3 linked regions of the Struthio camelus genome follow. The protein of the gene in region 2 interacts with the protein of the main gene of each other region in a pairwise test. Links are inferred from orthologs where the notes say so. Each region holds a gene or a part of one and is shown on either strand. Other genes may lie near its edges.

Region 1 (7,948 bases), on a different chromosome or scaffold from region 2:
AGGGACAGAGATAGGGACAGGGATGGGGATGGAGATGGGGATAGGAACATGGTGGGAACAGGGATGGGGATGGGGATAGGGATAGGGAAGGGGAAGGTGATGGAGCCAGGGTGGGGATGGAAATGGGGATGGGGACAGAGATAGGGAAGGAGATGGGGCCAGGGCCAGGGCCAGGGATGGGGATGGGCATGAGCATAGGGAAAGAGATGGAGATGGGGACAGGGATGGAGATGGGGACGGGGATGGGGCTAGGGCAGGAATATAGGGGCAGGGATGGGGATGGGGAAGGTGATGGAGCCAGGGTGGGGATGGGGACGAGGACAAGGTGGGGAAGGCGCTGGGGCCAAGGCCAGGGCTGGGGCTGGGGAACGATGGGGATGGGGTGGGGACCGACGTCATCCTGACCTTGGCCCTGGAGGTGCTGATGTTCTCCATGTTCTCGATGCTGCTGACGCAGTTGTTGGGGACCTTGTTGCAGGCCAGGCGGATGTAGTCCCAAAACCCGCGCTGCCCATCCGAGCTGAACCAGCTGACGGGGCCTGGGGGACACGGCGGGGGGCTGCGGTCACGGGGGCCGGCCGCAGGGCCCTTCCCGCGCAGCACGCCCGCGCCGGCGCCTGCCGCCGTTACCTTTAAAGCGGTGGCTGAGGATCTGCTCGAGGATGGCGGCAAAGTTGACGAACTCCTCGGAGGAGTCGTCGATGGGCTCCGCCGTGTACTTCTCCAGCAGGGTCTTCACCGAAAACCTGCCGGCCAGAGGAGTGTCAACGGGGTGGTGGTGGTGGGGGGTGAGTTATGGGCGCGCTGGTGCTGCGGAGGGGCTCGGAGGGGGTGCAGCAGGTCCCCGGACTCCTGGGCCCCCTCCGCTGCCCGGGGAGGAGAACGCACCCAAATCCAACACATCCAGGCGCCCCGCCGGGCCGGGCGTTTAGAGCAATAAGGAAAAGCCATTTGCACGCGGTGCTTCCCGAAAGGATGGCTCGCGCCGCTGGGGCTGCCGGCAGGACTCCTGGGCCCCTTCCCCTGTACCACCGAGGGGATATATAACCGGGGTTGTTTTAAGCGGCATCACCAAGCCGCGGCGCCGGGTGCCGAGCGCCCTGGCGGGCGGGTGCCGCGCGGCGGGCCGGCCACGCGCCTCCCGCGCACCCTGGGGAGACGTTCGCGGCCGCTGCCGGCGTCCCCCCCCCCCCCACCGCTTCCGGCTCGGCCCGGGGGACGGAAACGCTTTGTCCTGCGGCCGGACCCGGCTCGGGGACAAACGCCGGCCGGGGCGGCGCGCGGCGTGATGGGCCGAGGCTCGGGGGCTCGCGCCGAGCTCGCGCCCGGGGCGCGCAGGTGCCGGAGGGATGGCTCCCCGGGGAGGGCGCCCGGCCCCTCCGCGCCCGGCCAGGAAAAGCGAACAAAAGGCTCCCCGTTTCCTCCCCGGCCCCCGCACCGGCTGCCAGGGCTTCCCTTTCCGCCCTACGTGCCGCCGGCCCGAGCCGGCCCGGACCGCGGGGCCGGGTTTCCATCCCGGCTGCGCCCGGCTCCTGCCTCAGTTTCCCCTCCCTGAGCTCAGCCCCGCGCGGAGGCCGCCGCGTCCAGCCGGGTGGTCACCTCCCGCTCGGCCCAACGGGCTGGAGGACGATGCTGGGGGTGCTCAGAGCAGCCGGCTGCTGAGGAAACCCAGCACGGGTTGGGGTCACGGCATGGGGTTCGGCCACGTCGCCGGCGGCGGGGGGGGGTCACCCGCGGGGGGCCGAGCGGCTGCCCCCGGGGCTGCGTTTCGGGCACGAGCCACCGCTAAGGATGCTCCCGGGGTGGGGGGTGATGCGGCCCCCCCCCCGCAGCCCCACAGCCAGGGACTGGGACCGCTGGCCCCCATCGGCGCCGGCCCCGGCGCCCCGGTCCAGCCGGGCGTTGCCATGCCAACGCGCATCCCTGCATCCCGGCTCGCCATCATCCCTCCATCCCCGCTCGCCTTCATCCCCCATCCCGGGGCCGCCTTGACGTCACTTCCTCGGCCCCACACCTGGCGCTCGGGTCCCCCCGCGCAGCCCCCCGCCACCCCCGCGCCCTGAGCGGGGGCGACCCCGCCGAGCCCCCCCATCCCCGGTCCCCGCCAGCATCCCTCCCCCTCGCCGGGCCCCGGCTCCCCCCGACACCGCCGGCAGCCTCCATGTTGTTGTCGTGTAGCCGAATCGCCGTGGCCTCCCCCCTACCCCGAGTCCCTGGCACGGCGGCCCCCTGCCCGCCCCCCCGGACCGGGACCCCCCCCGGGCGGCCGATGCAGCAGCACCAGGGCACAGCCGCCCACCCTCGTCCCCTGGCCCCGTCGCCCCTCGCCGCCTCCACCCCTCCCTTCTGCCTCTCCAGCCCTTTTTGCAGCAGCAGCATCCTTTCCCCCCTTCCCCAAAATTGCGTCTCCCGGGGTAAAAGCAACAGCAGCAACAATAAAAATAAAAATCATCCCCTCTGCCGGGGCCGGAGGGGCCGCGGGGTGGGACGGGGCCCCCCGTCCGCTGCCCCCCGCATCCCTCCATCCAGCTCCTCCATCCCTGGCCACCTTGCTCCCCTCTCCCCCACCTTATCCCCCCCTGCTCCGTTTTCGGGTCCTTCCCCCCCCCCCCCAGCACCCACCTGCAGACGGTGATGAGGTTTTTCCTCTCCACGGCGATGTTCCTGGACGAGGCTTTCTTGGACGAGAGCCCCAGAGCCATGGCAGCCTGGACGCAGCTCGTTTCCATCCAGCGCGGGGCGAGCCGGCCCCGGCGGGCGAGACCCCCCTCTCGCCGGCCCACCTGCCTCCGGCGCGGCCCCGCCGAGTCCCCGGCCCCCCGCGCGGCCCCGGCGGGATGCACGGCCCCGGCGGGATGCAGGGCCCCGGCGGGATGCAGGGCCCCAGAAGGATGCTGCAGCCGGGCAGGGGGATTTTTCCCACTCCGCCACCCTGGACGCCCCCCCCGAGCAGCCCCCGCGGGGATGGAGGGAACAAGGGGGGGGGAAAAAGCGGGGAGGAGAGCAAGGGGCAGGCGCTGTGGCGGGCTGGGGGTGGGTGCCGGGCTCCCTCCTCCCGGCAGGGCCCAGCCCCTCGCCATGACGCGCCGGCAAGAGCCGGGACCCCACGGGCAGAGCGGCGGCAGGGCCGGGCTCCGGCCTGGCCACCGTGAGCCCTCGGTGACAGCGGGGACCTTTCGTGTCCCCCCCCCCCCGCCGCCAGCCTCGGGGGACGGATCCAGGAGCAGGCAGCCCCCCCCACCCCGGCCTCGGGGTGTTGCGGCAGCCCCCGCTCCCAGGGCTCCCGTTTCGGGGCGGCCGGGGGGGGGCAGCTGGGGTGTTTCGGTGCGATCCCGTCCCCCCGCGCCCGGTGGGAGCTGCCCCTACCGGGGACATGTTGCTCGAGGTGCTGGCACGGGCGCCAGCTCGGCCCCGCCGCCTCCAGCCTCCGTGCCTCAGTTTACCCGCTGGGCATGGTGGGTCACGGCTGGCCGAGCACCGTGCCGCCCCGCAGGCTCGCGGTGGCCTGGGGCTGGGAGAAACCCCCTGAGCCGGAGCCGTCGGGGCAGCACTGACCCCACCGCCGCCACCGTGCCTCAGTTTCCCCATTGCGATAAGGGGGCAACTGGATGGGAGGGTGAATCGCGCCAGGGCAGGGCAGCGCGGGCGCCCCAGAAGCAGCGGGGCTGCGCGGGGAGGGGCGGCCTTGGCGGCACCCAGATAACGCCAGGGCCCGGCGCCGCCCGCCTAATCGCAGCACCCAGCCCCGGGGGCTATCGCACTCCCAAGGCGGCCACCCGCCTGCCGCTCAGCAAACCCGCGGCCGAGGGGCCCGATGGGGCCGGGTAGCGGGCGCCAGTGGTCAGAGCTGGGTGCGAGGGAGGGTTTCGCCTGCAGCATCTTTGCACCCCAGCTGCACCCTGGATGGGTGCCCAAAGGGCCTGGGTTTGGGGCTCGGAGCTGGGAGCCTTTTAGGAAGGTTGCACATGTGTGTGCACCCGCATGCACACGCATGCGCACACACCCACATGCATGCACATTCGTGTATGTACGTGCGCATGCACACACGCGTGCATCCGCATGCACATGCACACCCGCGCACACATCTGTCTGCACACGCGAGGGAGCTGTGCCCGGCTGGCTGCGGGTGTCAGGGCAGCGTCCGCCACTGCAGCGCGCTGCAGGACTCGAGGATGCGTCCGGCCCGGAGGCTCGCTGCGGGAATCGGGGCTCCTGGCCACTGCACAGGGCGGGTTCAGCACCTCGAGCTCGACAGGGCTGTGCAGAAGGCGTCGTGCGCTGCGTGCTGTGCCATGTGCTGTGCTCCGCGTGCCATGTGTTGTGCAACGCATGCCATGAGCCGTGCACCGTGTGTCATGTGCCATGCACTATGCCTCATGCCATGCACCATGTGCCATGTGCTGTGCTCCGCATGCTGCGTGCCATGTGCCGTGCACCACGTGCCATGTGCTGTGCTCCGTGTGCCGTGTGCCGTGCACCACGTGCCATGTGCTGTGCACCACACACTGCATGCCGTGCACTGCGTGCCATGTGCCGTGCCCCGTGTGCCGTGTGCCGTGCACCACGTGCCATGTGCTGTGCACCACACACTGCATGCCGTGCACCGCGTGCCATGTGCCGTGCCCCGTGTGCCGTGTGCCGTGCACCACGTGCCATGTGCTGTGCACCACACACTGCATGCCGTGCACCGCGTGCCATGTGCCGTGCCCCGTGTGCCGTGTGCCGTGCACCACGTGCCATGTGCTGTGCACCACACACTGCATGCCGTGCACTGCGTGCCATGTGCCGTGCCCCGTGTGCCGTGTGCCGTGCACCATGCGCCGAGTGCCGTGCACCGCACACCGCAGCCTTTGCAGCCCCATCTCGCCTCTGCAGCCGAGCGGCGGCCCCCCGGCGCCCGGGGCTCGCCCTAACGCCTGAGGGCGCCCTGAAACGGCGCAGGGAAAGGCACTGCTCTTCTGCGTGCAGCACCCAGCTGGGATCGCCCCCGGAAAGCGCCGAGGATGGCGACGCTCCGGGACTCGCAGCCTCCCGGCGGGCGGGCAGACACGTCCCGCCGCTGCCACCGCCACCGTCACCTGCAGGCCCTGCCTTCGCCTCGCTCCTCTGCGCCGGGGGAAACCTCCCCGGGAACCCTCGGTTTTTTCTTAAGTAAAAAAAAAAAAAAATCAAATCCCAGTAAATAAGTGTCACGGAAACGGGATTCCCGGGGTTTCCCTTCGGGGAAACCCCCGCGATGCGGGACGCGGGGGCCGGGCTGGCGCGGGGGGAGCGGGGCCGCGGGCCGGGGGAAGCCGGGGAGGCGGGCGGGCGGCCAGGGCGCAGCCCCGAATTTGCAAGATGGTGCGCCCCGATAACCTTGTTTATGGGGCCGGCCACGGGTGAGGGCGGGCGCGCGCCCGCCGGCCGGTGGCCCGGCCAGATTAGGGGGCCAGCGTGACTCGGCATTCGGGAGCCGGGCCGCGGGCGCGTCGGTCCTGCGCCGCCGGCAGCAGTGGGCTCGCGCCCAGGGCAGCGCCGTCGCCGGAGCCAGCGCGGGTGGTAGGTGCGGGGCGCGCGGGCACGGCGGGCCGGGCTGGGGGGGTGCGGGCGCTGTGCGGTGCGGCGCTGGTGCAAGAGGGCAGGTCCTGCACCTGGGTGCGTGGGGTGGGTGCTATGGACTTCATATGGAGCCAGGCAGGATGCACGGCGTGGGAGCTGCGGGCTCTGTGCTGAGGTCGTGGGATGCACGGCGTGGGAGCCGTGGGCTCCGTGCTGAGGCCGTGGGATGCACGGCGTGGGAGCCGTGGGCTCCGTGCTGAGGCCGTGGGATGCACGGCGTGGGAGCCGTGGGCTCCGTGCTGAGGCCGTGGGATGTACGGCGTGGGAGCTGCGGGTTCTGTGCTGAGGTCGTGGGATGCACGGCGTGGGAGCCGTGGGCTCCGTGCTGAGGCCGTGGGATGCACGGCGTGGGAGCCGTGGGCTCCATGCTGAGGTCGTGGGATGTACGGCGTGGGAGCTGCGGGTTCTGTGCTGAGGTCGTGGGATGTACGGCGTGGGAGCTGTGGGCTCCGTGCTGAGGCCGTGGGATGTATGGCGTGGGAGCCGTGGGCTCCATGCTGAGGTCGTGGGATGCACGGCGTGGGAGCCGTGGGCTCCGTGCTGAGGCCGTGGGATGTACGGCGTGGGAGCCGTGGGCTCCATATGGAGCCATGCAGGATGCACAGCGTGGGAGCTATGGACTCCATGCTGAGGCCGTGGGATGCACGGCGTGGGGGCTGCAGGCTCCACGCTGAGGCCGTGGGATGCACGACGCGGGGGCTGCGGGCTGCAGGCTCCGTGCTGGGGCCAGGCGATAGCAGAGCTGGGGCTGGAGCTGGCAGGCATGGGGCCAGGGCTAGCAAAGCCAGGCCAGGGCTGGCAGAGCTGGGGCCAGGGCTTGCAGAGCCAAGGCTGGGGCTGGCAGAGCCGAATCCGGGACTAGCAGAGCCAAGGCCGGGACTAGCAGAGCTGGGGCTGGGACTAGCAGAGCTGGGGCTAGCAGAGCCAGGGCCAGCAGAGCTGAGGCCAGGACTAGCAGAGCTGAGGCGGGGGCCGGCAGAGCCAGGGCTAGCAGAGCTGGGGCCTGGACTAGCAGAGCTGGGGCCGGGACTAGCAGAGCTGAGGCCGGGGCTGGCAGAGCTGAGGCCGGGGCTGGCAGAGCTGAGGCTATCAGAGCTGGGGCCGGGACTAGCAGAACCGGGGCCGGGACTAGCAGAACCGGGGCCTGGACTAGCAGAGCTGAGGCCGGGGCTGGCAGAGCTGAGGCCGGGGCCGGCAGAGCCGGGGCTAGCAGAGCTGGGGCCGGGACTAGCAGAGCCGGGGCCGGGACTAGCAGAGCTGAGGCCAGGGCTGGCAGAGCTGGGACTAGCAGAGCCGGGGCCGGGGCCAGCAGAGCCGGGGCCAGCAGAGCCGGGGCCGGGACTAGCAGAGCCGGGGCCAGCAGAGCCGGGGCCAGGGCTGGTAGAGCCGGGGCTAGCAGAGCCGGGGCCAGCAGAGCCGGGGCCGGGGCTAGCAGAGCTGGGGCTAGCAGAGCCGGGGCCGGGGCCGGGGCTAGCAGAGCCGGGGCCAGCAGATCCGGGGCCAGCAGAGCCGGGGCCGGGACTAGCAGAGCCGGGGCCAGCAGAGCCGGGGCCGGGACTAGCAGAGCCGGGGCCAGCAGAGCCGGGGCCGGGGCCGGGACTAGCAGAGCCGGGGCCAGCAGAGCCGGGGCCAGGGCTGGTAGAGCCGGGGCTAGCAGAGCCGGGGCCAGCAGAGCCGGGGCCAGCAGAGCCGGGGCCGGGGCTAGCAGAGCCGGGGCCAGCAGAGCCGGGGCCGGGGCCGGGACTAGCAGAGCCGGGGCCAGCAGAGCCGGGGCCGGGGCTAGCAGAGCTGAGGCCAGGGCTGGCAGAGCTGGGACTAGCAGAGCCGGGGCCGGGGCCAGCAGAGCCGGGGCCAGCAGAGCCGGGGCCGGGACTAGCAGAGCCGGGGCCAGCAGAGCCGGGGCCGGGGCTAGCAGAGCTGGGGCTAGCAGAGCCGGGGCCGGGGCCGGGGCTAGCAGAGCCGGGGCCAGCAGATCCGGGGCCAGCAGAGCCGGGGCCGGGACTAGCAGAGCCGGGGCCAGCAGAGCCGGGGCCAGCAGAGCCGGGGCCGGGGCTAGCAGAGCCGGGGCCAGCAGAGCCGGGGCCAGGGCTGGTAGAGCGGGGGCTAGCAGAGCCGGGGCCGGGGCCGGGGCTAGCAGAGCCGGGGCCAGCAGAGCCGGGGCCGGGGCTAGCAGAGCCGGGGCCAGCAGAGCCGGGGCCGGGGCCGGGGCTAGCAGAGCCGGGGCCAGCAGAGCCGGGGCCGGGGCCGGTAGAGCGGGGCCGGGGGCGCCGGTGCTCGGCGCTGCAGGCGGCGCGGCGGAGCAGCCGCTCGCCGTTATCGGGCGGCCGCAGCCGGGTCGGTGCCGGCG
Region 2 (7,371 bases):
GGGGGAATGGATATTCAAACACAAAGGTTAGAGAGGAGAGGGAACCAAACAAGCAAAAAATTAAAGCCACATAGGCTAGAACATCCTTTCTTTTTTAACATCCTTTCTTTTTTTTTCTCCTGTAATTTCTATTTCCCTGCTTTTTCCAAGTGGCGTGTGGGAAGATAAAAAGTTACAGAAGTAACTATGAAAGCGTCCCAAAAAAATCACAGAGAACACAAGCGGACGTTTATTTTTCATATGCTTCTACAATTTCATTTGGAGTTTCTTCCCCTAGAGAAACAGTAATTTGCCTATAATTTAGTAATTGACAAAAGTGAGTAATACGTTCATACTTCCTCAAAATCTAGAACATCAGCCACAAAACAGGCAAATTCATGGAATTACCTAGGGCAGAAATTCACTCTTAATACAGTGTGTACTTTAAAGAAAGAGTCTGATCCCAAAGCACTGTTCAATACTGTTTAATTTTACGTGTGGAAAAGTCAAGGGTAACTCTATTAGGCTCTACCACTGAAGCACTTGGAATGACCAAGACCACACTGAGGTACTTCACATATCACTCTCAAAGCCTAAGTTTGTAAAAGATAAAAAATTCACACTTTCCAGCATTAGGAGAGACTATTTGTTTCAGTAACGGACATATTTTCCTTAAGGTCAAAGTTAAACAGCATTCTAGCTTTGAAGGGCAACATGCAAATTACTACTAGCTGCTTAGTATTTTATACACAAAAGCTGTAAAATTGGCAATTATTTCACTTCTAAATGAGTAGCTCACCATGAGGAATTTCATCGGAATAAAGATTTTTGTACACATCCATAGCAAAATCCACCATGTTGGTATCACTAAGAAGATCCAGTTTTCCTTGGAGAAGTTCTTTTTCATTGTATATCTAAAACAAGAATTATTAACAGATTTCTTTGGATACAATGAAAGAGTCTTCAATTAATACAGTTATTTACCCTTATAGTACCATTTACCTTTATAATACAGTCTATTTATAAATTCTGTCAAATTATTTAATTTTAAACATCAAATATGACAGCTTTTCAAGATGTCTCACAGTTTCTCTGTCATTTGCATACAGCCTATCAACATCCCCAATCTTGACATCAATTTCTTGCTATTCATGAATATCTAAACTTCAAAAGATAAAAGACAAATTAGCATTCTAGATAACTTTTCTTAAAGAAAGCCAATTAGTTACTTACTGGGCCAAAATAGATACTAATTCACGAAGAAATTCCAACATGAAGATTTTGACCAGGTTTTGCAGTTCTGACCCCAGAACTTAAACTGATGCAATCCATGGGTCAAGCTCAGTAAACACTTTTCAAGAAATAGTTTGCTAAACAGTATAGACTCATCAAACAATTTAAAGTAGACCTCAGGAAAGATATTCAGGGTCAAACTTACCATTAACTCTGTAAGATACATTTATGTAAAATATGTTACTAGGTCTATAACATAAAAGCAAATTCATTTTAACCTGTGCAATTATTTGGTGCTCTTTCAAACGTTTAATTATTTTTAAAGATTCCTACCCCATCAGTTGGGTACTGCTGTTACATCTTGGAAGATGTAGGAGGGGATCAACACTTACACATACCCCCAAACTACATCTGCATGGGGGCTGTATTACAATTCCTTGCATCACAACTACAGACATCTCAAATGGAAAATCCACAAAAGATTAATTCAGCTTTGAATACCATTTCGTTCAAGAGCAACCTAGCAAAAATAACAAGGTTTAGTTAACTTCAACCGGGTTTACAGCAAACTCCAAAAACACCAAAAATAACGCCCCTAAAACAAATGAAGCAGGAAACACACAAGATACAAAAACAAGGTAGGTTAGACTGTTTCACTGTATGCAGCTTGATTCTGAAGCCTAAAATAATATTTATTTCAAAATTCAAGCCTTAAGTAACCTTACAATTCTGTTTCCATTTATTTTAAAATGGATCAAATGGATACCTCAGACCGACTAAACTCTCATCGACTTTAACTGATGTATTTACTGCATTATTTGGGTTCCTTTTAGTTTTTATTAACATAATTAAACAGGAAAGACCCATGGGGGGGACTTGCGCTTGGTTTAAGCGCAAACACGGAAAGTTTAACGATGACGGCAGCTGTAATTTAAAGTCGGTTAGCAACGAGACCTGCACTGACGCAATCCCACGCACCGCCCCGCGGCAGCGCCCAGCCGACGCGCCGCGCTGACGAGAGCTATCGCACGCTATCGGAAGCTTACAGAAAACAAGCCGCGGGCGTGAGGCAGAGCTCTCCTCCTTCCCTCCTCCAGGCGAGGGGACGGGAAAGAAACCAGAGTAAACGCAAGGCGGGGGGGGGGGGGAAGGGAACAGAGACTCTCCCTCCCCAGGGAGCTAGGCTGCGGAGGAGCGGCTCCCCCCGGCCCGCCCGCGGAGAAGGCCCACACGTCTCTTCCGCACCGCCTCCCCACATGGCGCCGGGGCCCCGGGCCCGCCCCAAGCTGCCGGGGCGGCGAGTGCCGAACGCCCTGGCGGGCCGGGTCAGGTCGAGCTAGGCCAGGCCAAACCCGGGGGACACCAGGCGCGGCGCGGGCAGGGCCCTGCAGCGACCCCCAAACCCGCGAGAGGAGCCGGCCAGCGGCACCGCCTGCCACTTCCCCGCGCCGGCAAGCCGGCTTCTCCGGCTGCAGGAACGCCCCGTACCTCCTTGACGGAGAGGAACTCGAGCAAGGGGAAGACCAAGTGCCGGTCCAAGAAGTGCGCGATTTTGGTGGTCAAGTCGTACTCCGCCATCTTGGGGCCGGGAGAGAAAGGGGCGGGCTGGGGCTCGGCTCAGCGGCACGCGGCGGTTAAGGGCTGTGCGCCTGCGCCCGGCCTGCGCATGCGCAGGCTCCCCCGGCCGGGCGAGGGGCGGCGCGCGCCTGCGCCTGCCTCTTCTTAGCCGCTGTGCGCGGCTGTTGGGGAGGGGGCGCGGCCTGGGGGGGAGGTCGGTCTGCTGGGGCTGCAGTGCGGGGCCTAGAGCCTCTGCTGCAGCGGCGTGAGAGGAACAGCTGGGCTGAGCCTTGGGGTCGTTGCAGCTTCCCTGGAGGCGGCTGCAGAGCCCGGTGGGACCGAAGCGTTGTGGGATTGGGGGCAGGGCCGCGGCCGGGACGGAGGTGATGGCGTCAGCCGTTACTAGCCGTTCAGCGTCTGCCCGCTGCGGTTGAGTCAGTTTGTCAGGACTTGAGCTCAGAAATGATTCAGATGGCTTTTTAGAAATGGTGTGGAGCGGCCTTGAGACGTGGGTCCTGCTGCGTGTGCAGTGTGGAAGCTTGACCTGATTGAGTCTGGGAAAGAGGAACGGGCAGGGGGCCTAAACTGTCTTTTGCACCTTGAGAAACCTATTAAGCTTGACCAGCGTGACTGATGAGACGTAATGGGTGGGGGACACAGCTGCCAGAGCAGGACCCAAGGAAGGATGTGTTAGCGTTGCTGAGTTTAGCAACAGGAACGTGGAACCACTAATACAGATCATAACTGGGGTGTTTATTTCTTGTAGTCAGTGTAAGAAAGTTCGGCAAGTTCACTGGGGTGTTTAACTCACCGGCATATTCAAGAAAAGTGTAAAATGCACCTTGTGTGTTTATAGCTTATATGAAAAAGCCTATAAAGGAGCATTCTCCAACAGCTGCAGCTTAGCTTAGTATTTCAGCTGGGATTGTTGGGTATCTGGCTCCTTTTTCAAGTGACCTGACTGCCTTTTTTCTTTTTTATATTAATCTATTTTTTCTATTATTACTATTTTAAGTGGCAGTCAGCTCCTTGTCAGGAGGAGTCAAAAAAAAGTCAGTCAAAAAAAGTACTCCTTCGCATCGCAGATCATTCAGACTTGCTGTTAATACATGTTAAATCTGTGCATGTTGATCAGGTTTGCCTGAGGTACTTGCTTTTTATTTGCTTGAGTGTGGGTTTTTTTACATCAAATTATAGTTTTATATGGGGACGAAGAGAATCATTGTTGATGAGAATGATATTGCACAGTTATCTGGAATAAGAAGTGGGATTTTTGCCTTACAAAGATACTCGAAGAGTGCTGAATGTGTTTTTAAAATATGTGATTTAGGATGCTGTCAGGTACATGGAATATATAAAATGCAAGGCTGTATCTGCCATAGATGTGATCCACATTAAAGTGCCAGGCCTCCATCTTGTATCAGTTAGAGGTTAAATCTCTATCAACAGCTAAAACAGGTAAGTGAGACCTCTTACAAGGAATTGTTTTTCCATACTTAGTTTCTCTTGCTCCTACTTTCTGTGAAGACTACTTGATACAGTTTTTCCTGCCTAGCTTGAAGTCTGGTGGGTCAAGAGGAACCTTTCAGCCCATAACACTGAAGAGCTTTTTTTTTTTTTTTTCTGGAAGTGTAATTCCATGTTAGTTTTGTCTCATTTCAAAAGCTTTGTGTGACATGTGTTTTATAGTCTTTGCATTTGATTCCATTTCTTGTTTCTCTTCTGACTTTGTTATTCTCAATGTAGGCCTTAACAGAGGCATCAGACACAATGACAGCAAACCCTTTTCTTTATATAATAATAAAATTGAGACATGCAGTTGAGGGAAGGTGATACTAATAAAAGAAGATGTAATTGCAAAAAGTGTACTGTTTTGTAGGAGCACTCATTTTCCTCAGCAGTGCTCACTTTAAAAAAAATAAAAAAACCGTAATAAATTATTGGCATTCAGTCATGCAGTTGGTCCAGTCTGAAACCAATCTGTTGCCTTACTGTACATAGCATCTTCATTACCTCCAGTTCAATTCTGTAGTGCATTTATAATCGGTAACAAAAAGGGTATAAGGTAGCAAATAATGCAGATAGCTAAAAATCCTTATTGTAACCAAAACCTGATTGCTTTGAATTATTGATTTACTGGCCCATCATCAGGCCAGTAAAGACATCAGACATGAAACTAGAGACCAGCTGAAAGTCAGCTAAAATAATCTGCTTTTAAAGATTGATTAAGAAGGAGAGGGAAGAGTGACAACAATACTTTTGGGATTTGTTTATTTTAAGTACTGAAGAGTAAAACTCATGAATTCGGCAACACTTTAAACCTTTTGATTTTAGGTGAAAATTTTGGGCTATGTATAGTAGAAGCTACTACAGCTTCAAATTGACAAATCCAGCTCTGCGTGACAGATTGTTGAAGGGTGTGTGAGTTTCCAAATCCTATGTGTTTAGTGCATAAAAATATACTGTCAAAAAGATTAGAAAGAAGCTATTGTCAAAGCTCACTTTAATGATTTTGGAGGATGTAGAGCTGAAACTATGTAGATCTGTAGTACTTTTTTCAGATTAAGTATTCAGCTAGAGTATTGGTTTGGAATCTGCGAAATGTTATTAAAAGCGCTTATGTTGATCAAACATGATTCAGCCAAAGGTGGAAATCTTTACAGCTCAGTTGCAGTTAAGTAATGTGCTGTGGTTTGTTGACTGCACTGCAGAAACAATGCTTCTCAATGTATAGTATAGAAGCAAATATATACTATTGAATTAGGTTTACCAGGAGTTTTTCATTAATTAATCATGAACATTTCCGGTTTTAATAGGGGTTCTCTTAGGTTTGAAAACTTTTACCTCATTGATGAAGGTGTTTACTGCAGTGCTGGGCAGCTTTTTGTTGATATAAATATAGTTTGAACTGGTTGAAATATTGAAAAATTTTGATTGTTTTGGCAAATCAGGATTAGCCTTCCAAAAGTTCAGAAACATTGGAACTGTTTGTTTTGGGCTTTTTTTTAACTTGGAAAGTGTGGGTTTGGGGAACTAGATTCACCGGGAGACTTAGTGAAGTTGAAATGGTGCATAATACTGTGCTTCAGTAGGGATGTGGCAAAACTCTGTTCTAATCCATTTTGTGCTTAATTCAGAGCAAGCACTTAAAAATGACTCTTCTACTGTTTGGGTGAATTTTCTTAACAATGCCACTGTGGGTTTCTTGTTTGTTGAGACTTTTCAATGTTTAATTAAATAAATATGGTGAATAACGTATTTGTGTGAGGAGTGTTACTGAAGAAAATGTGATCATGTTTCCCTGTGGCCAGGGATCTTGATGGTAGGAGTCCAGAATTCAAATGTGTGCAATAAATTGGACGATAAGATCTAAAGTATGGAACATAATTGTAACTCTGTGACTAGAGCACTCATCTGGATCAGAGGATCTTAAGTTCCAGTGTTTTATGTTTATTTATGCTTTTGCTTCTATGAGTTAACATCTCGTTCAGCACAAGGACCACATTTTCAATGTATTATTCAAGACTTGTATGTTGTATTTGTAGAAGACCCTATAAATAATGGATTTTACTCAATCAAGTTTTAGAAACATTTTGAAAAGAATTTTTTCATCCGACATTAGCTCTTCATGCTGGGTCGATCTCATCAGTACTTTTCCTAGGGTTGACCAGAAGGTAGGCCTGAGAAGTGTGTGTTTGGAAACTAAGTCCATGATCTTCATTGCCTTCTTTAGAACAGAAGCCAGCATTCAGTGTGTGACTAGAGCCTTTCCTTTTAATGACAGCAATGTTTTCATTAACCAGATTACCAATAAAACAATTCTTAAAATTCACAAGGCAAAGATCCTCCTTACGTTTTTTTAGACAAGAAGACTTTTTGCCAAGACATTGTCAATTCAACTTTTAGAGGCTGGAAGGTTGCTTTGAAAAAGATGATGGATGACTCAAGAGAATCGTCTGATTTTTCAAATATTTTAGTTTTTTTTACTTTTGTTTGGTGACCAACATTAACCTGTGCTTAAGTTTTTTAAGGAGAGTGGAACAAAAAAGAAGGGAATCACCCACAAGCATCATGGATACAATAGAACATGAGAACTTTTTCAAACTGAAATGCTGTCTTGGAATAGCTACAAGGTTTATGTTTTTGGCTGAAGGGAGGAAATGTGTCACTGTTTTCTCAGCTATGATAAATTAGTGGTACAATTAGTTTCAGTTGTGTGAGATTTGTTCCAGCTTTCTCTTGTGTTGTATAGAGTTGATTTTTGTTCTTTTAAAAATTTGAGATGTCAGATATGTTTTCCATGTATTGTCAGAAAAAAATCTGCATGTTACTAACTGAAGGTCAAAGAAAAAAGACAATTAACTATTAAGATGATTTGGACAATAATGTGTTGCTAACATTCCGGTTTAAAGCTCAATCTCACTTTTGTTTAGGACTTGTTAACAAGCTTCATGAACTAACTTTTGTAAATAGTGCATAAAAGGTATATGATGGTCCTGCTGGAGAGATTTCCGCTGTTTTTTATTGGGAGATATAGTTGATCCTACTAAGCCAAGCCTCTTCTCATCACATAAGGCGTGACTAATTTCTGTCACAAGGATA
Region 3 (6,934 bases), on a different chromosome or scaffold from region 2:
ATCAGGGATGGAGAACAGCTTATTCTGCTCATAAAGGCAACAGGATGCAGAAGATCCCAGGCTGGGAAGCACGTGTCTTCCTTTAACAGTGTGCAGGAGAGAGAGGAAAGCTGTCTGCTGTGAAGAGAAGGGGCAACAGCTATGACCAAAAGTCAACAAGGGACTTCATATGCAGAGTAATACCGTCAGGAAGCCACTAGGGGTAAGTGGAAGATCTGGCTGACCTTATTGGTTTGGAAAGCAGGACATTTTGAGGAGAAGCTAACAGGACTGAACATAACTATGAATATTACTGTGTTTTGCAGAAGATCAACTTAGGCAATAACCAACAGTTACAACCTAAAACAAAACGCCTTTTGCAAAACTGATAGCATCTGCTTTTCATTATGTTCCCCTTCTGCCAACACACCTGCAAATAACAAGTGCAGGTGTGCTTGAGCTGTGCAGGCAAGGCTCAGACTTCCTTGCACTGAGATCTACTTGCCACTGCATCTTCGTCTGGGGCAAAATAGCCACACGAGAAAAGAGAGAAAAGGTGCAACTTGGGGGCAGAAATACCATCGGGACCTGACAAAAAGTGTAGCTAGATGCCTTGGGGTAGGGGAGCAGCTGTGAAGAAAGGGAACAGTTTCTGATGCTTGCACTAAAGCAAATGCTTCCTATTCCAGCTAAGATTTGCACTGGCATGCAGTAGTATTTGATAGAGTTTCCTCATATTAGAACTACAAATATAAGCTAATAAGCACATATTTTTGTAATATCAACATAGTCAAGCCACATCTGACCTTTTTCATCTCTTTGGATGGGAACAGAAACGTAAGCAGATATATCCATTGCTCTGAGCAACCTGGCACTCAGAGCAGTTTGTCATCAGATCGGAGCTGGGCAGGATGCTTTTCCCCGGTGTTGAGAAATGCCACAGCACGCACTCACAATTAGAGCACATAATTGACTCCTGCACAGTAGACACACCTCTCAGCTAGGAGGCTGCACTCTCCCTTGGACGCAGTTATGAACAATCCAAGGATATAACCCTCAATTTGTGCTACTTCATGTATACTATAATTAATGTCTACTTACTGCTGATGTTGAGATCCTGGAATGAAGAGCACAGCTAGCACACATTTTTGTCAATTATTAGAGCAAATTTCCTGCACAAACAATACATCAAACATTTTCAGACGTCATCACACAAACAGATGTTAAAACCGTGACAACACAACTCCCATCGGCTATTTGATGAGCAGGCCATAGTTTGGCGATTAGCTGACGTTTTACTGATTGCTCATCAGGCAAGTGTAGTGTTTGTTAGTGCGTGTTTCTTAATATTAAATCACTTTGGTCTGTAATTTCTTGGAAAGTGTGAGGGTAAGCCAGTTGGAAACAATTCTGTGTAAGCGTCACTTGCTTTGTTTTTCCTTTCCTGTGACTGCTTGTACAGCTTTGTCACTTAAGGATTCCTGTCATTTATTACCTTACTGAAGTAAAAATATTTTGTGACACCAGAGCTACTTCCTTGAGAATAAAAGAACTACTATATGTCAGAATATTAAGCATCAAAATCTATGAAGCCATAGCTGAGCTAGTCCTATAAATTTTCAGATAACAAGCAAGGCACAATTCTCAGGCATGAGAATCTCCAGTTTTAATACCCGCCCTGGTTAAAGCTACTTTTCTCCCTTGAAAAAACTACCATGAATCTAAATCTGTTTCAAGACTTCACTTGGAATAATCATAAATAATACCCCTAAGCCCCTACACACAAAAACAACCTCAAACTTCATGCCTTGAATAGCAGACAAAATACATCAAATTCTTCCCTCACGGAAACAAACAGCCATTGTCTGTACACGGAGTATAACTAGCACTAGTTGTGTAATATCATCCACAAGCTTGCCATTTCAGTCACAGAAACACATAAAGAATCAGGCCACTGCCTTGACCAACGTATCATCTATTGGCTTGATTTAGCATGGCCAGGGAGAAAAAAGGGGAGAGGTAGGGAAAGATACATGATCGGATTGTGGAGGTTAGATTTGGGGATAACCGCAATGTTGCGGTTCCTTTTTCCTGTGATAAAGTGTCGTAATGAGGATGTGAGTATTTAAGAGAAATCCGAACAAATCCATGGGGGGCTTGTCAGAGATTTCAAAAGGTTCTCTAAGCACAGATGATTGGGATAACTTTGGATGACAGCAGGTCATACGTACAGTTAGTATATGCCATGTCATTTAACCGTACTCAGATTTTAATTTTTCTGAGTAAAACTTTCTTCGTAATATGAAATGGTTTTAAGAAATGTAATCAAATAATTTTCAGAAAAAGTTGGGATTTTGGCAGACATAAGCCATAAAGCATATTTTGTATTGTTAGAAAAAAATGGAAAAATATCAGAGCAAAGGAATTGTGAATATCTTCTTGCAAAAGAGAAAAATGGCATTTTTGATCATACTTTTTCAGAAAGCCCTCATCATAAATATAACTGTGCAGTCTCCTGCATTGCACAATTCCCTCCCTTTTAATTCTAACACAGAATCGTCTTCCGAAAATATATACAGATTGTTATCAACAGGTGAAGACAGTGTAAGAAGGGTTATTTGTATTCATGCAATGATGACATTTATCTGTGAAAAAACAGAGATCTGATTTGAAAATGAACAAGCAGACAGTGGCAACGGGAGTCAAACAGCTGAGGTTAAACTCTCGAAAGTCACCTCTGTAGTTCTACTGCGGCTGAAGGAGGTCGATATGATCTTGGACAGGTCCCCCTTCTGTGTCAACTTTTCTCATGTTTGCAGTTAGCTGTGCTGGAGAAGCAGGCAAACAGATCAGCTGGTAAATGAGGCCTCGGTGGAGAGTAACAATGGCTGGTAGACCTGAGCAGCTCCCCAGCTTTGTTTGTAAAGTAAATAAAAAGAGCACATTTGAGGGGGAGGAGTAACAAAGGGAAGGACAGGCAACTACAACCTTGGCAATAACCTTGTGTTAGGCAGGAGGATAGCATAAGGCTCCTTCTGGCAGACACTCTGACACCCCTTGTTCCCAAATATAGTGCATGCCTGCCTCAGAACAGGAGGAGAAAGCAAGCTGCACCAGGAAAAACACTTGCACATTTTCTCTCTCTTACAGAGTAGTGTAGACAGCAGGGACTGAACTGACTCGGAGCCAAACCACAGCTCACATTCTCGCACAGGGATTGCACAGCTAGGTAGTTTCACCAGGGCTGGACAGCAAGATGTTTAAAGCGTGAAAATGACACATAAGCGTTACACCCTAAGAAAGTGTGAACAAAAAGTCTGAAGTCAATTAAGCTACAGAAAAAATAGACAAAAAACCTTCAGGCTGGTTTTTATAGTTTCTCTAAATGAGTATATTATCATATTTCCTCAAGTTAGCTGATTTATTTTAGATTATATATGACAATCCAGTTGCTCCCTAAAGCCCTATTTTGACAATTTCCAGACTAAAAATCCATTAGAAAAAAGGAATTACATAGACTTCAGTCCAGCTTTAAAAGCATCAGTCTTATTGCAGAGTTAAACACAGACTTGTTATCAAATTGTTGCCTCCATAACAATTGCGCTAAGACAAGAGTTGCCAAAGAATTTAGAGACTCACTGAAAAAGATCTGACATTCTAGGTAGTAGAATTCTTCACAGTTTTGTGGCTGTCACCTATAGGCTAAATTTGACTGTTGCAGCAAAACTGGATTATAACTTTCAGACACAGGAGTACACATGATCTGGAAGCTTGTTAAAAAGTAATTTGTTTTCAGAAGACACTGAACCATCAGCTCCACAGCCTTTCATCAGCTGGTTTCAGACTCCATAATGGATTAGCAGGATGGATGCTGGGCCCAGGATTTTTTTTTTTTAGCTCTCTCCCTTTGCTGGTGGGGTGGGGGCGGGGGGGGAAATGATAGACTCATTACCTCTGGTCTCAGCATAGTTAGTGGGGTGCTTGCTTTGGATGCAGGAATACAAAAAACTCCTCAGAACCTGCTATTTTAGGCACAGTGAAACACTTTTTATGGATGATAGTCACCTAACAGTAGGATTAGTCAGTGTGTTGTATGGCTAACTAAACTAGATCCCTTTTCTTGTTTCCTTTACAATCTTTTCCCTGTTACTCTTCCTCTCCCCTCTCTGCCATAGGGTGGTGTTTTTCTACTGCATGTTTAATAGCTCCCTAAATTTCTAATTTTGGTTCTCCTCAGCTCTGCCATCTGTCCCACAGTCTTTCCATGTTTCTTTTATATCACCTGTCATCCAGATCAATTGTTGCTCTGCCACCACCCCTCAGTAATATACTGCACTTCCCTCCCCTTCATTTAGGCACACCCGATTCTTTCTCCGACCTTGGCAGATGCTGAGGACAGCCTTTGAAAGCTTTAGGAGAGGTGCGAGTGCCTACTCAGCACAGAAGGCACACCCCACCTCCCAGCAGGAGAAGTCTGCCAAGCGCAAGAGCTGTCTCAGGTTATTCCCACCCCAAATTCTTTATATTCCATCCTTATATATTTCTCTGCAGACACTTTACTCTTCCCACCTTTGCTTCTGTGAGTGTCTCCTAGCTGGTTAGCATTTGGCACCTGTATGAGACCTTGGTAGCAAGAAAACTTAAGAAAATTGTGTTTGCGTTAACAGTGAGGCAGATGGAATCCGTTCTGATGAGAGAGGGGTTTATGTCCATCGTGGGGGAGATGGACCCTCAGTCTGGTACCCTGCAGGCAGATACGCTTCACTCAGGAGGGCACAACGCAGCCGACTGACGGGGCACAGGCTGGCAGGGTCTGGTCTGACTGGAGCCTCTGCTTGAAAAAAAACGAGCAGAAAGAGCTGCCACAGGCCACTAGGAGATGCAGCATTCAGGCTTAGCAGCCCAGATAATACATACATAGAAAAAAACGCTTTACTTTGTAATCTAGAGGAGAGGAGGAGAGAGAGGAACCAAAGAAACAGCAAAAGCTCATGAAGCACCAATTCTGGATGAGAACGTGGGGGAGACAGAAATCAACCACCTTAAAAAAAGTGATTCACAGCAAAAGTCCCCCGCCAGGATTGAAAGGAATTTGAGACTTACTGCAAATACCATTTAAATATGTTGTGCCTTCACCTTTCTGCTTCTACACTGGGAGGACAGAGTGGGGCAGAAATCAAGACTGAAGGGAAACCAACACACCAAGAACAAGACCAAAAAGGAGATTGGCCTTTCTCTGTTTCCCTGTAAACTTACAAGAGTGTCGAGAAAGGTTGTCAAACCATTTTTGTTTCACTAATTTTGCCCTTCCCTATTCATAACGTTCGTCTTTTGTTTATCCATAATACAGCAACAGTTTAAATAGACAATACAAGCTACTGTATTATATAATTTAAAGTCAGATATGTTGTGTTTCTCAAATCTGATAAAGGACAGTAGACTTCTCTTAAAGCACATTATGGCTTTTAAAGCAAACTTACTTTTTGGAGCCAGACATTATACATTCCTGTTGTTCTTAGCAAGATCTCACACTTCTAGAAAAGTCCCATTCCATTCTCTTACTGGGTGCCAACATAAAATCATCTAACAAGAGACTTTACTCCTCAGCCTCCTCATTTTCAGCATTTGTTTTACTGAGTGGATTGTTGTTCTGCTCTCCTCAAATTAAATCCACTTACTACCTCCGTAATAACCATAGGGGCATTTTTTCCAACTGATTTTAAAATAGATGCTCTTCCATCTCTTTTTCTTTCAAAGGAAGAAAGAGAGTCACTCTTTTGTAATATCAGATTTTACTGATCTCTGTAAACACTTATTCTAATGTATTACAAGGAAATCATAACTAGATCGTCTTTCGCACTAGCAACTAAAGGATTACTGCAGTGGCTGAGGGAACCATACACAGAGTTGAGCCTCTTCATCTCTTTCATCAAAGCAAAATATTTTAACTGATGGAAGTACTGACATTGAATGTGCAAACCACAAAGGCTGTCCTACTTCTCTCTCATGCTCCAAGAATCTGATTATTTTATAGAAACTGGTACAAGCCCAGCCTCACAGACACACTCTAGAAGATTCAGTGGCTACTCAAAGCTGAAAAGTCAGAGCTCAAAATTAAGCATTTTAAACCTAGGCCTCCCATATTCCTCTTTCCTGATAGCTCCATTTCCTGCAAAAGCTCCAAGCGTTCCAGGATACGTCTAGAAAGACAAAAATCTATACCTTGAATTTTAGTAGAGCTTTAAGGCTAAGTGCTGTGTTGATGTCCAGAATTAAGTGACTGCACAATAACCAGTGACAGAAATTTACAGGCCTAGAGGAATTTCATGACTGAGAAAGAATAGTTTAACGGCCTAGGTTTAATGGCCGTTGACCGGAATTTGGAGGATCTAAATGTTAAGGTCAAGCATTTTACTGCTACTTTAGACAAGCAGACTCTATTTTGGAGCTAGCCTCCAGTGCTCTGCAAAGCAGCGCTTAAGTCCTGTCTTGTTAATATGAAAATATCTAGAAAATCTAGCAGCATAGCATATTTAACAGAATAAACAGCATATAAAAAAGGGAAAAAAAAAAGAAGTTAGAGCAACATAAAGGCTGCAACATCTTATTCTTCCTAACTTCAATCTCAGATAACATCATTATCTATTTTTTCAACCTTCAAACCCTCCCCCATGCCCTCTATTTAAATGAGTCTGCGTAGCATATGCTTGATTCAAACTCCGGATAGGAGCTTATTAATACTACTTATTTTTTAATGGAACCATGAAGATCACACAATACACAAGTCTTTAGAGCAAAGTACCTAAGACAAAATAAGTAGGAGTAAAGCATGCCTTTTCATGCTGTAAAAGTAACTTGTTCCCCAGGGTTATTTTCCAACCCTGGCTTGAAAGCGTGTTATAAACGTGGGAGAGAAGGACAAGGAACAACAGTCTCTAACAGTGACATCATAAAA

What was found. The genes of interacting proteins can lie anywhere in the genome.
Region 1: the proteins of EIF3E (region 2) and RUNDC3A interact in binary tests that used the Homo sapiens proteins (3 or more experiments, as listed by UniProt). The two-hybrid records come from large-scale screens. The link is inferred for Struthio camelus from reciprocal best matches to the Homo sapiens genes EIF3E and RUNDC3A.
Region 3: the proteins of EIF3E (region 2) and C4H4orf19 interact in binary tests that used the Homo sapiens proteins (3 or more experiments, as listed by UniProt). The two-hybrid records come from large-scale screens. The link is inferred for Struthio camelus from reciprocal best matches to the Homo sapiens genes EIF3E and PGCKA1.

Annotation. Positions count from the first base shown.
Region 1 is NC_090966.1:4,585,670-4,593,617, forward strand, and holds the start of RUNDC3A (RUN domain-containing protein 3A), read right to left. Parts: upstream 3,006-7,948; 5' UTR 2,730-3,005; coding exon 2,623-2,729; intron 747-2,622; coding exon 631-746; intron 540-630; coding exon 406-539; intron 1-405. UniProt on the Homo sapiens protein: May act as an effector of RAP2A in neuronal cells.
Region 2 is NC_090943.1:153,081,685-153,089,055, forward strand, and holds the start of EIF3E (eukaryotic translation initiation factor 3 subunit E), read right to left. Parts: upstream 3,001-7,371; 5' UTR 2,791-3,000; coding exon 2,701-2,790; intron 894-2,700; coding exon 779-893; intron 1-778. UniProt on the Homo sapiens protein: Component of the eukaryotic translation initiation factor 3 (eIF-3) complex, which is required for several steps in the initiation of protein synthesis.
Region 3 is NC_090945.1:62,454,674-62,461,607, reverse strand, and holds the start of C4H4orf19 (uncharacterized protein C4orf19 homolog), read left to right. Parts: upstream 1-3,929; 5' UTR 3,930-4,365; coding exon 4,366-4,478; intron 4,479-6,934. UniProt on the Homo sapiens protein: Acts as a tumor suppressor. Acts as a tumor suppressor for colorectal cancer cell proliferation by targeting KEAP1/USP17/ELK1/CDK6 axis.